Oryctolagus cuniculus: one gene and its partner. The main gene of each other region encodes a partner of the protein of the gene in region 2 in a complex. Links are inferred from orthologs where the notes say so. Each region holds a gene or a part of one and is shown on either strand. Other genes may lie near its edges.

Region 1 (4,551 bases), on a different chromosome or scaffold from region 2:
GCGCCGCAAGGTGGAGGATTAGCCTATTGAGCCACGGCGCCAGCCTATTACGTGCTTTTTCAAATGAACAAATCAAGAGCAGGAAAATCAAAGTTCAAACTTAACATGGAGTAAAATCCACTTTCTGTCCATAATCAAGAGACTGCCAGGCTAGTAAATATGTCAGTCCAGCAGTTAAGATGCCTCTGTCTCACATCAGAGTGCCCTGGGTTTAATTCCCCGCTGCGGCTCCTAACCCCAGCTTCCTGCCAAGGCAGACCCTGGGAGGCAGTGCTGATGGCTCTATTTAGTGGGTTCCTGCCATGCACGTGGGAGACGTATATTGAATTCCTCACTCCCCCGAGGCTTCAGCTCTGGCCCTGGACCCAGTCACAACCCCAACCCAGCCTCAGCTGCTGTGGGCATTTGGGGGGTTAATGGGCAGACAGGAAGTGGAAGCCTGCTTTTTCTCCCTCTCTCCTAAATAAGTAAAATGGATAAAGATAACATTTAAAGAAAAAGACAACACAATGTTGAGTCTCAGATTTCTAGATTCCTAATCAAACTTAAAACATTCCCCTATAAATGGGACTACAACCATTTTCTAAGCCTATTTAATGTTAAATTGGTGTCACTTCCTTATTTCCCTAGCTGAAACAACACACTTGCTTTTCCACGTCATTTCAAACACTACCACAACCAGTTTAGGGGAAGTGGGTATCACTCCTGAAAGATGTTTCCGCAAAAGCAACAAAAGAGACACGAGCAAAAAAAATGCCACTAGCCACCATTTATTTTTAAAAAGCTAACCACTGCTAAAAACCTAATCACTGTCTTACATTAACTGACAAACGGTGACCACACAAACCAGACCACTGGCAAAAATACGCAGAACAGTCTTCTACCAAATTCTCAGCTAGGAAATTTGTGGAGAAATAAACAGCAGCTTGCAAGACCCTCAATGCAGTGCCAGTCCAAACCTGAAGAGGAATCACACTGTGCGCATTTAATTCAGCAGCTCGAATCGAATGGATGTAATGGACAAAAGAAGAGGAACAAAACAGCAACTTAGCAGCAGCAATTCCACCTGCCGCTTTCCGTTCTGCCAGTACACCCTCCAGAAAGCCCAAAACAGGAACCACAAACACACAGGACAGTGCCTCTGCTTTCCCTTCCTCCTTTTAAGTCTCTCCAGGTTTTTGGTCCATGATGACTCTAAGTTCTTAAAAACTATTTGTACCACACAGCTCTTTACTTCACCTGGGTTGCAACTAAAGACACAGTAACAAGTTTCAAGGCTTGTTACAAAACAGTGGTGGATTTACTCAAAAATAGACATCAATCTCAAATTTTGCCTCTTCCTAAGGAGTCTTTAAGGATACTTTTGATTGCATACAACGTCTGCCTCAGAGGTTGACTTTAAAAGTTGACTTCCACTGCAAGGACACACCCCCTTCAGATTACTAAGGTCCTGCAGCCTATTCGGGTCCGTCCTGACCACCTACAGAGCAATCTTCCCCATAACAGAGTTCCTGATTTCCCCAGAAAAATTCTAAAGAGCCACTCAGGAGAAGACCACCGAAAGCCTTCTACGCAAGCCATCAAGAGTACCGGCCTGGCCAGGAGAAAGATCATTTACTTGAATGTTTGGTTTTTCTGGCTTAGGAAACAATAAACATCGCTGCACTATTTGAGAAGACCGAAGAAAGGCTCTGCCCTGCACCAGTAAGATAGAAAAGGAAGCAGCAGCGCGTTAGCAGAAGTGGCAGCAGCATCACCAAGGAGGGGCGACCTCGCTCCACAGGGTCGCCGCCACCACCCCCGCCCTTCCCCCGCCTAAACACAGAGTCGGAGACGCTGGGCCCGGGACCCAAGTGCAGTCCAACCAGTCCTTAAAACCCCAGAGTGTCCCAGGCCTGGGGTGAGCTCCTCCAGGGTAATGGCTCTGCCTCCTAAAGACACACGGCAGCAAGGAAAAGTTGCAGGGCTGCAAGAACTCAGGAGGAGGAGGTGAGTGAGGTCAGAACTCGGGTCCTCTCCCCTACTCAGTCTCCAGCCTCATCTTCCTCTTCCGTTCGGGATCCCCCTCCCACTTGAAACCACACTCAGCCCTCCCCTCCGAACACCCCACTCCTCCCCCCCGCCCAGGGCAAAACGAAGATATGAATACTACAGGCCTTAGAGCCAGACAGGCCAGGCCACGAACCAGCCGTATGCACTTGCATAAATTAACCTCTCCGGTGCCTCACTTCTCCTATCTGGTAGAATGGGTCTGAGACTAGTATGCACCTCGGAGAACTGCAGCAGCGGTTACCCAGAATGAAGCATAAAAGGTGCTTTGCAAACTCCTGGCATATATCGCCGGAATAGGATCAGAATGATTATACTGATTGTTATTACTACTATTCGGTGGGCTTCCTCCCCGCCTCACTGCTTGCCGCTCGCACACTGCCCTTCCTCCTACAAGCCCCCAAGGATCTCCCACTCTTCCAGCTCACGCTCCTCTTTCCGGTAAGCGAGAGCCCGCTTACCCTGACCAGCAAGGCCCGCGCAGCGCGGGTTGGCGGGCTGGCAGCCGGACTCCCCAGCGGCAGCGGCGGCGGCGGCCCCTGACCCGAAGCTCTCCTCCCTCTGCCCCGGATCTGCTCCTAGAACCGAGTGGGCCAGTGAGATGGGAACCCCCGTGCCCAGAGCGGCCTTACGCACCGCCTACCAAACAACACAGCTGCGCCACTCTACCCGTAAGATCCTCCCGACTCGCCTGCTCTCTTGCGTCATTCCAGAGGCGCGCGCGCGCGCCTGTTCATGGCCGCGCTTCCCTCTGGCGCGCCCCGGCAACTCCGTGCGTGCTCTCTGGGCCCTGGAGCTCGCGGGAAGCAGCGCGCAGGCGCAGAACCAAGAGGGCGCCGCGAAAATGGTGGGGCGGGGCGGCCTCGGAAGACGCATGCGGAAGACAGTCCGCTCTAGGCCTTGGCGCGATTAGTTTCGCTGGTTCAGTTCAAGCACGATCTCTACGCCTCCATGTCGGTTTCCCTTCCGCGCGCCCAGGGAAGGGGCGTGGTCTAGAACTAGCCCCTCCTGGTGGGCGTGGCCTGGGGAACCCAAAGGCCGAGGCGAGGGCGTGTCGAGTCTGCCCCAATCCCCCAAACTACGGCGCCCCCTCCTCCCTGCTTTGGGGGACCGTTAAAGTCGTTGGCAGTACAGGATTGGGAGTGTACTGGGGAAGGATCCTGAGCCGGCCTTCTGTATTAATGTGGCCCCTTGGATCCCTCACTTAGGACTAACATCTGCCTCATGGGTTCCTTGCTGGCAAACAATTAGTTGGGGATGCGGCGGCGCCCCCAAACCGAAGCTTCGGTTGTGTCCGCCTCCCTCCGCGCACCTCGGGGCCGGGCCGGCGCGTTACCGCAGCAACCGGCTCCTCGCGGCCTGCTCGGGCTGGGTACTAAGGGGACACCGCCTTCCCTGGGCGAGCTCAGGCGCGCGGCCTTCTCAGAGATTCCATCGTGGGGCAGTCTCCCCACTTTTTAGTTTGAACAGTCGGGGGTCCCAGGCCCAGCCCACGCGGCCTCTAGGGCCGTTCTTCCAACCCTTGGATTCCTTTTTAATCCTGTTTTGGAGAGAGGGCTTTTCGCCAACGCCTGTCCTTGGCAGCGTTTGGCCAGGCTGGGCTGCGCCACTGCCACTCGCGTGCTCTAGCGGCGGCTGCCGGGAAGACAAAGCGCCGAGCCCTGCGCTCGGCTCCAGGCCCAGGGCCATCCCCGCTGTGGCTCTCGAAGGAGCTCCGCCCTTGTCCCTGGGGGTGAAGCCAAGGGCCGTTGTTCAAACACAGTGCAGACGCAGCCCTAGTAACCTACGAGCGGCCTGCCGGCTGTTGGCTTTTAAAGATTTCCCCGTAAGCGGGTTCTCCAAAACCCTTTGCCTTGCCGAGGCCGGATGCCGAGCTGGCCATTTCAGAGGGGTTTCCAAAACCTGGTCCCCGGGGTGACAGCATCAAGTGCGCTTTCTCCCCTCCAAATGAGTGTCTGTCCCCTTAGCTTCAGAATAGGAATGGACTGACCCTCACAGTGTTGTGGAGATTAAATAATTAATAAATGCAGGGGGTGGGGAGGATCCCGCAAGCAGGAAGACATAGAAAAGCCTTCAGTAAATCCCTGTTCCTGGCACGTCCCTGTTTGTTCTGCCTGAAACTGTCAGTGTTTATTAGCTGTTCCGCAAGAGCTGTCGGTGGAGGAACACCCAGCCAGTTCTGGTTTTCTAACATCCTTTCACCCACTTAGGCTGGGACTGGGGAGAAGGTAGCCCTGTCAGGCAGGCGCTAGTCCCATGAAGAGGCGTCCACAATCCTTCCTTGGAATTTTGTTTTTTCCTGCAGCTCAGGGCCTGGTGTGCACTGAAACAATCAAACAGGAAACCATCCCCTGCAGCACTGCTCACCCAGAACTGGGTGTTCCTCTCTTAGATTACTGAAGATAAATTTAAAGCAAACACAGATGGGTTGCATCTCAGGGGGCACTGGAGTGTTTGTTTAAAAAAATTGATTTTATGCTACACTCGTGCTACTGCAGAATT
Region 2 (4,232 bases):
AAGAATCTCCTGGCTTTGGCCTGGCCCAGTCATTGTGGCCAGTTGGGGAGTGAACCAATGGATTGAAGATCTCTCTCTCCGTCCCTAACTCTGCTTTTCAAATAAATAAAACAAACCTTTAACAACAGCAACAAAAACAACTTCATTTCCCAAGATGCCTCAAATCCTTTCATGATAAAGCTTACATGTATTCAAGCATACACAGGTAATAAAAACTCCAGGGGCTGACACTATGGCGCAGCGGGCTAACGCTCTGGTCTGAAGCGCCAGCATCCCATATGGGCGCCGGTTCCAGTCCCGGCTGCTCCTCTTCCAATCCAGCTCTCTGCTATGGCCTGGGATGACAGTAGAAGATGGCCCAAGTCCTTGGGCCCCTGCACCTGCGAGGGAGACCTGGAAGAATCTCCTGGCTTCAGATTGGCAGAACTCCAGCCGTTGCGGCCATCTGGGGGGTGAACTAGCAGATGGAAGACTTCTCTATGTCTACCTCTGTCTATAACTCTTTCAAATAAATAAAAATAAATCTTAAAAAAAAAAAAAAAAAAAAAAAAAAAACCTCCAGCCCTCAGAATGCATTTCCTTCTTTCCTGCTGCAACCACACAGAAGCTGAGAGCAGAAAGCAAGAGTAGGGACGCCCACACACACCCCATACCTGGCTCCAATGCACTGGGCCCCTCGAACACTCCCACTGGCTGTGTGAGCCTTCCCTACGTCCCATGTTCATCCGCTCACCAAACCTCAGCTGTCAGTCTGGCAGTGTGGCCGGACAGCAGCCAGCCACGCGTCAGCTTTCCCACTGCACCCCCTCAGCTCCTTCCCGAGCCCCCTCCTTTCCCGCTGGCTCCCAGGGCCACCCTTGTTTACCTGCCACCCATACAGGGCCCGTGTCTGCCTCCCCCCCACTGAGCTGCACTTGTAGAGGGTAAACCTGCTCCCGTTAGTTACCTTGCTCACCCGCACCTACAGCTCACCCTCAACGCCTCTCCCATTCATGCGGGTGCAGTCCAGCCGCGCAAACCACCCCCCCTCCTCTGAACACAGCGCTTCTCCAACAGCACCTCACAGGGCCCCACACTCCGCCCAGCCACCCCCATCCCTAATCTACATCCAGCAAGAACATCACCCCCGAGACCCTCTCCAGCTCCACAGTAGTCAGGGCTCCTCTGTGAGGGGCATTGTGCATCCATCGGTATAGCCCTGCGCAGTCTGCTGTGGCTGTCTCTCAACCAGACTGCCAGCTTCTTGAGTCCAGAGTCTCAGGTACCGTTGCAAGCCTCGCTGGGCTCACACTCATCTGAAAAGCTGTTCAAAAATCCACCTGCTTGGCCTGCAGCTGGCTGCAACACCCACCCCGCGTATCGGGGTTCCTGATTCCAGGCCTCCCTCTGGCTCCTGACTCCCGCTTCCTGCTCACGCGGGCTCCAGTAGCTGGTTCTTGCCTGCTGCCAACAGTGGCCTAAGCACCCGTACCTAAAAGCCATCTCGGCCCAACACAAAAGCAGGGGACCAATGAGAAGATAACTTCAGATCCAGAGGTATGGCCAAGTAGACGCCCTCTTGCGCACTGGAAAAAATCCAGGTATCACCTCAAAACCTATTGCCTTCACCGTGGCTGGGGGTTCGGCGGGCCCACCGCTGCCCCATCGCGGCGCCAGCGGATCAAGCCGGTTCCCGCGACACTGGTCCCCCGCTAAGGCCTCCGTGTCCCCTTCTTCATCACCACCGCCTCTCTGTCTGGCTGACCAGTCTCCCACGGCAAATCCACACAAATCTAAACGCCGCATCCCTGCGTCCACCCTACTGGTAGTAGCCATCTGACCCAACGGCCCGGGAGGCGCGCGTTTTTCTAACCGAGACCGTTGATTGGAGACGGCACCTTCTACCTTCTGTCCTCAATCCCAGTACCCGGGAGACGGCACCTTCTACCTTCTGTCCTCAATCCCAGTACCCGGGGGGCAGGTAACCAAGCACAGGAGGCGCTGTTCACGCTGTCCTTCCGGCCAACCACGCCTCCGGGTTGGGGTACAGACTTGCACTCACTCCGCTGCGGCTGGAGACCGGGGCAGAGCCCGTGGGTTCGCAGCTCCACCCTCCACACACCTCCGCCGGGCTGTATTCGAGAGGAGAGCAATCCCAGGCCCAAGTCCATCGATGGCTCGCAACAGACGAGGTGAGTACGTTTCGGTGCAAGCGAACCACCGCCTCTCCACCCGCTAAGAGTCGCGGGGAAAGGCCGCCCCTGGCCACCCCACCCCGCCCGGGGAGGTACCTGAGAGCGGCGGGCGGTCGGGCTCCTGGCCGCCGCGGGCGGGCGGCGCGGGGTTGAGCAGGTGCGCGAAGCTGGCGGCGAACGGGTTGGCGGCGAGCGGCTCGGTGCGGTACATCTCCCAGAGCAGGTAGAGCGCGGTGAGGCGCTGCGCCGCGCTGGGCAGCAGGTCCGGCTGCTGCAGCAGCATCACCAGCACCGAGCCCAGGCGGAAGTGGTCGGCCTTGCTGAAGTAGTGGTGGAAGGCGGTAGACAAGCCCTCGAAGGTGCTGCCGCCGCCCGCCTCCTCCGAGATGATGCTCAGCAGGCTCGACAGCTCCTTCGGGGTCAGGCTCATCCTGCCCGCCGGGCCCCCCGGGCCGCCGCCGCCGCCGCCGCTCCCCGGCCCGGGGCCGCCTGATCCGCCTCTGCCGACGCCGGAGCTCCCCGGGCCGCTCCGGGACGCCGACCCCGCCGCCTCTCGGGCCCCCCTTTGCTCTGCGGCGGTGAGAAGCCGGCCCGATGCCGCGCTCGCCCCGCCGCCGGGCATCAACTTCGCTCGCCCGCGCTGCTTGGCGGCCCGAGCGGCCCTGGCGCCGACGCACTCCGTTCCCGCAGCCGTAAAGCGCGCCGTTACACGACAGCGTCGTAAACAAAACACGCCGTGAAACCTGACGGCCGAGCGAAAGCGAGGCTGCTGGAGCGAGGCCCAGGAGAGGATCGGGAGACGCGAGGTGGGCGGGGCGACGCTGCCGGAAGTCGGGCTGTGGCCTCCTGGAGCGGCGGGGGCGGGCCCGGCCGGCCCGGTTCTGGTCTGGCTCGGTGCTAATGGACTGGGAGTAGGGGTGCCCCAGGTCCAGCGGGAGCGTACCCGCTTAGGAGTAGCCCAGGCACTGCCTGGCACCAGACTGCCCCAGCAAATGGTGGGTGCTTTATTGTTTGGAAAAATGCATTTTCGGTGCTAAATACTTTTCCATGTGATATCCTCAACTATTCATGGTAAAAAGTAGTGCAAATTGGCCTGCGCCGCGGCTCAATAGGCTAATACTCCGCCTTGCGGCGCCGGCACAACGGGTTCTAGTCCCGGTCAGGACGCCGGATTCTGTCCCAGTTGCCCCTCTTCCAGGCCAGCCCTCTGCTGTGGCCAGGGAGTGCAGTGGAGGATGGCCCAAGTGCTTGGGCCCTGCACCCCATGGGAGACCAGGAGAAGCACCTAACTCCTGCCATCGGATCAGCGTGGTGCGCCGGCCGCAGCGGCCATTGGAGGGTGAACCAAGGGCAAAGGAAGACCTTTCTGTCTCTCTCTCTCACTGTCCACTCTGCCTGTCAAAAAAAATAAAAATAAATAAATAAATAAATAGTGCAAATTGAAGACACCACACATTCACCAAAATTGATGTTTACGCTTTTTTTGCAGCACGGAATCTTATCCAGGAATCTTACTTAGTTTAACTAGACTTGAAGATGTTTGCAACAAATATGCATTAGCAGAATCATTCCTGTGCCACTTTGTGTTTAGCTTGCTCTAGCCTTTGTAAATCCCAGTGCCTGTCCCACCCCCAGGGATTCTGATCCCGTGTTCAAAAACAAACACTCCACAGGTGACTGTAAGGTGCCATGTGGGCTGAGAACCACTGGGGCAGGGGCGGACATTTCCCTAACCCTACAGTAATTCCTGTTTGGGAATCCTATGTGCGCTGAACAGTGCCTTTAGCTCGTTGTCTAGTTACACGCCACCTTAATTCTTCTGATTTTTTTTTTTTTAAGGTTTTTTTTTTTTTTTTTTTTTTTTTTTTTTTTGACAGGCAGAGTGGACAGTGAGAGAGAGACAGAGAGAGAAAGGTCTTCCTTTGCCGTTGGTTCACCCTCCAATGGCCGCCGCTGCAGCCGGCGCACCGCGCTGATCCGATGGCAGGAGCCAGGATCCAGGTGCTTTTCCTGGTCTCCCATGGGGTGCAGGGCCCAAGCACCTGGGCCATCCTCCAC

The links.
Region 1: CNOT11 (region 2) and CNOT8 share a complex: the UniProt entries of both Homo sapiens proteins name them as parts of the CCR4-NOT complex. The link is inferred for Oryctolagus cuniculus from reciprocal best matches to the Homo sapiens genes CNOT11 and CNOT8.

The regions. Positions count from the first base shown.
Region 1 is NC_091437.1:41,745,054-41,749,604, reverse strand, and holds the start of CNOT8 (CCR4-NOT transcription complex subunit 8), read right to left. Parts: upstream 3,050-4,551; 5' UTR 2,741-3,049; intron 2,703-2,740; exon of another isoform or gene 2,269-2,702; intron 1-2,268. UniProt on the Homo sapiens protein: Has 3'-5' poly(A) exoribonuclease activity for synthetic poly(A) RNA substrate. Its function seems to be partially redundant with that of CNOT7.
Region 2 is NC_091433.1:107,382,951-107,387,182, forward strand, and holds the start of CNOT11 (CCR4-NOT transcription complex subunit 11), read right to left. Parts: upstream 2,870-4,232; 5' UTR 2,797-2,869; coding exon 2,271-2,796; intron 1-2,270. UniProt on the Homo sapiens protein: Component of the CCR4-NOT complex which is one of the major cellular mRNA deadenylases and is linked to various cellular processes including bulk mRNA degradation, miRNA-mediated repression, translational repression during translational initiation and general transcription regulation.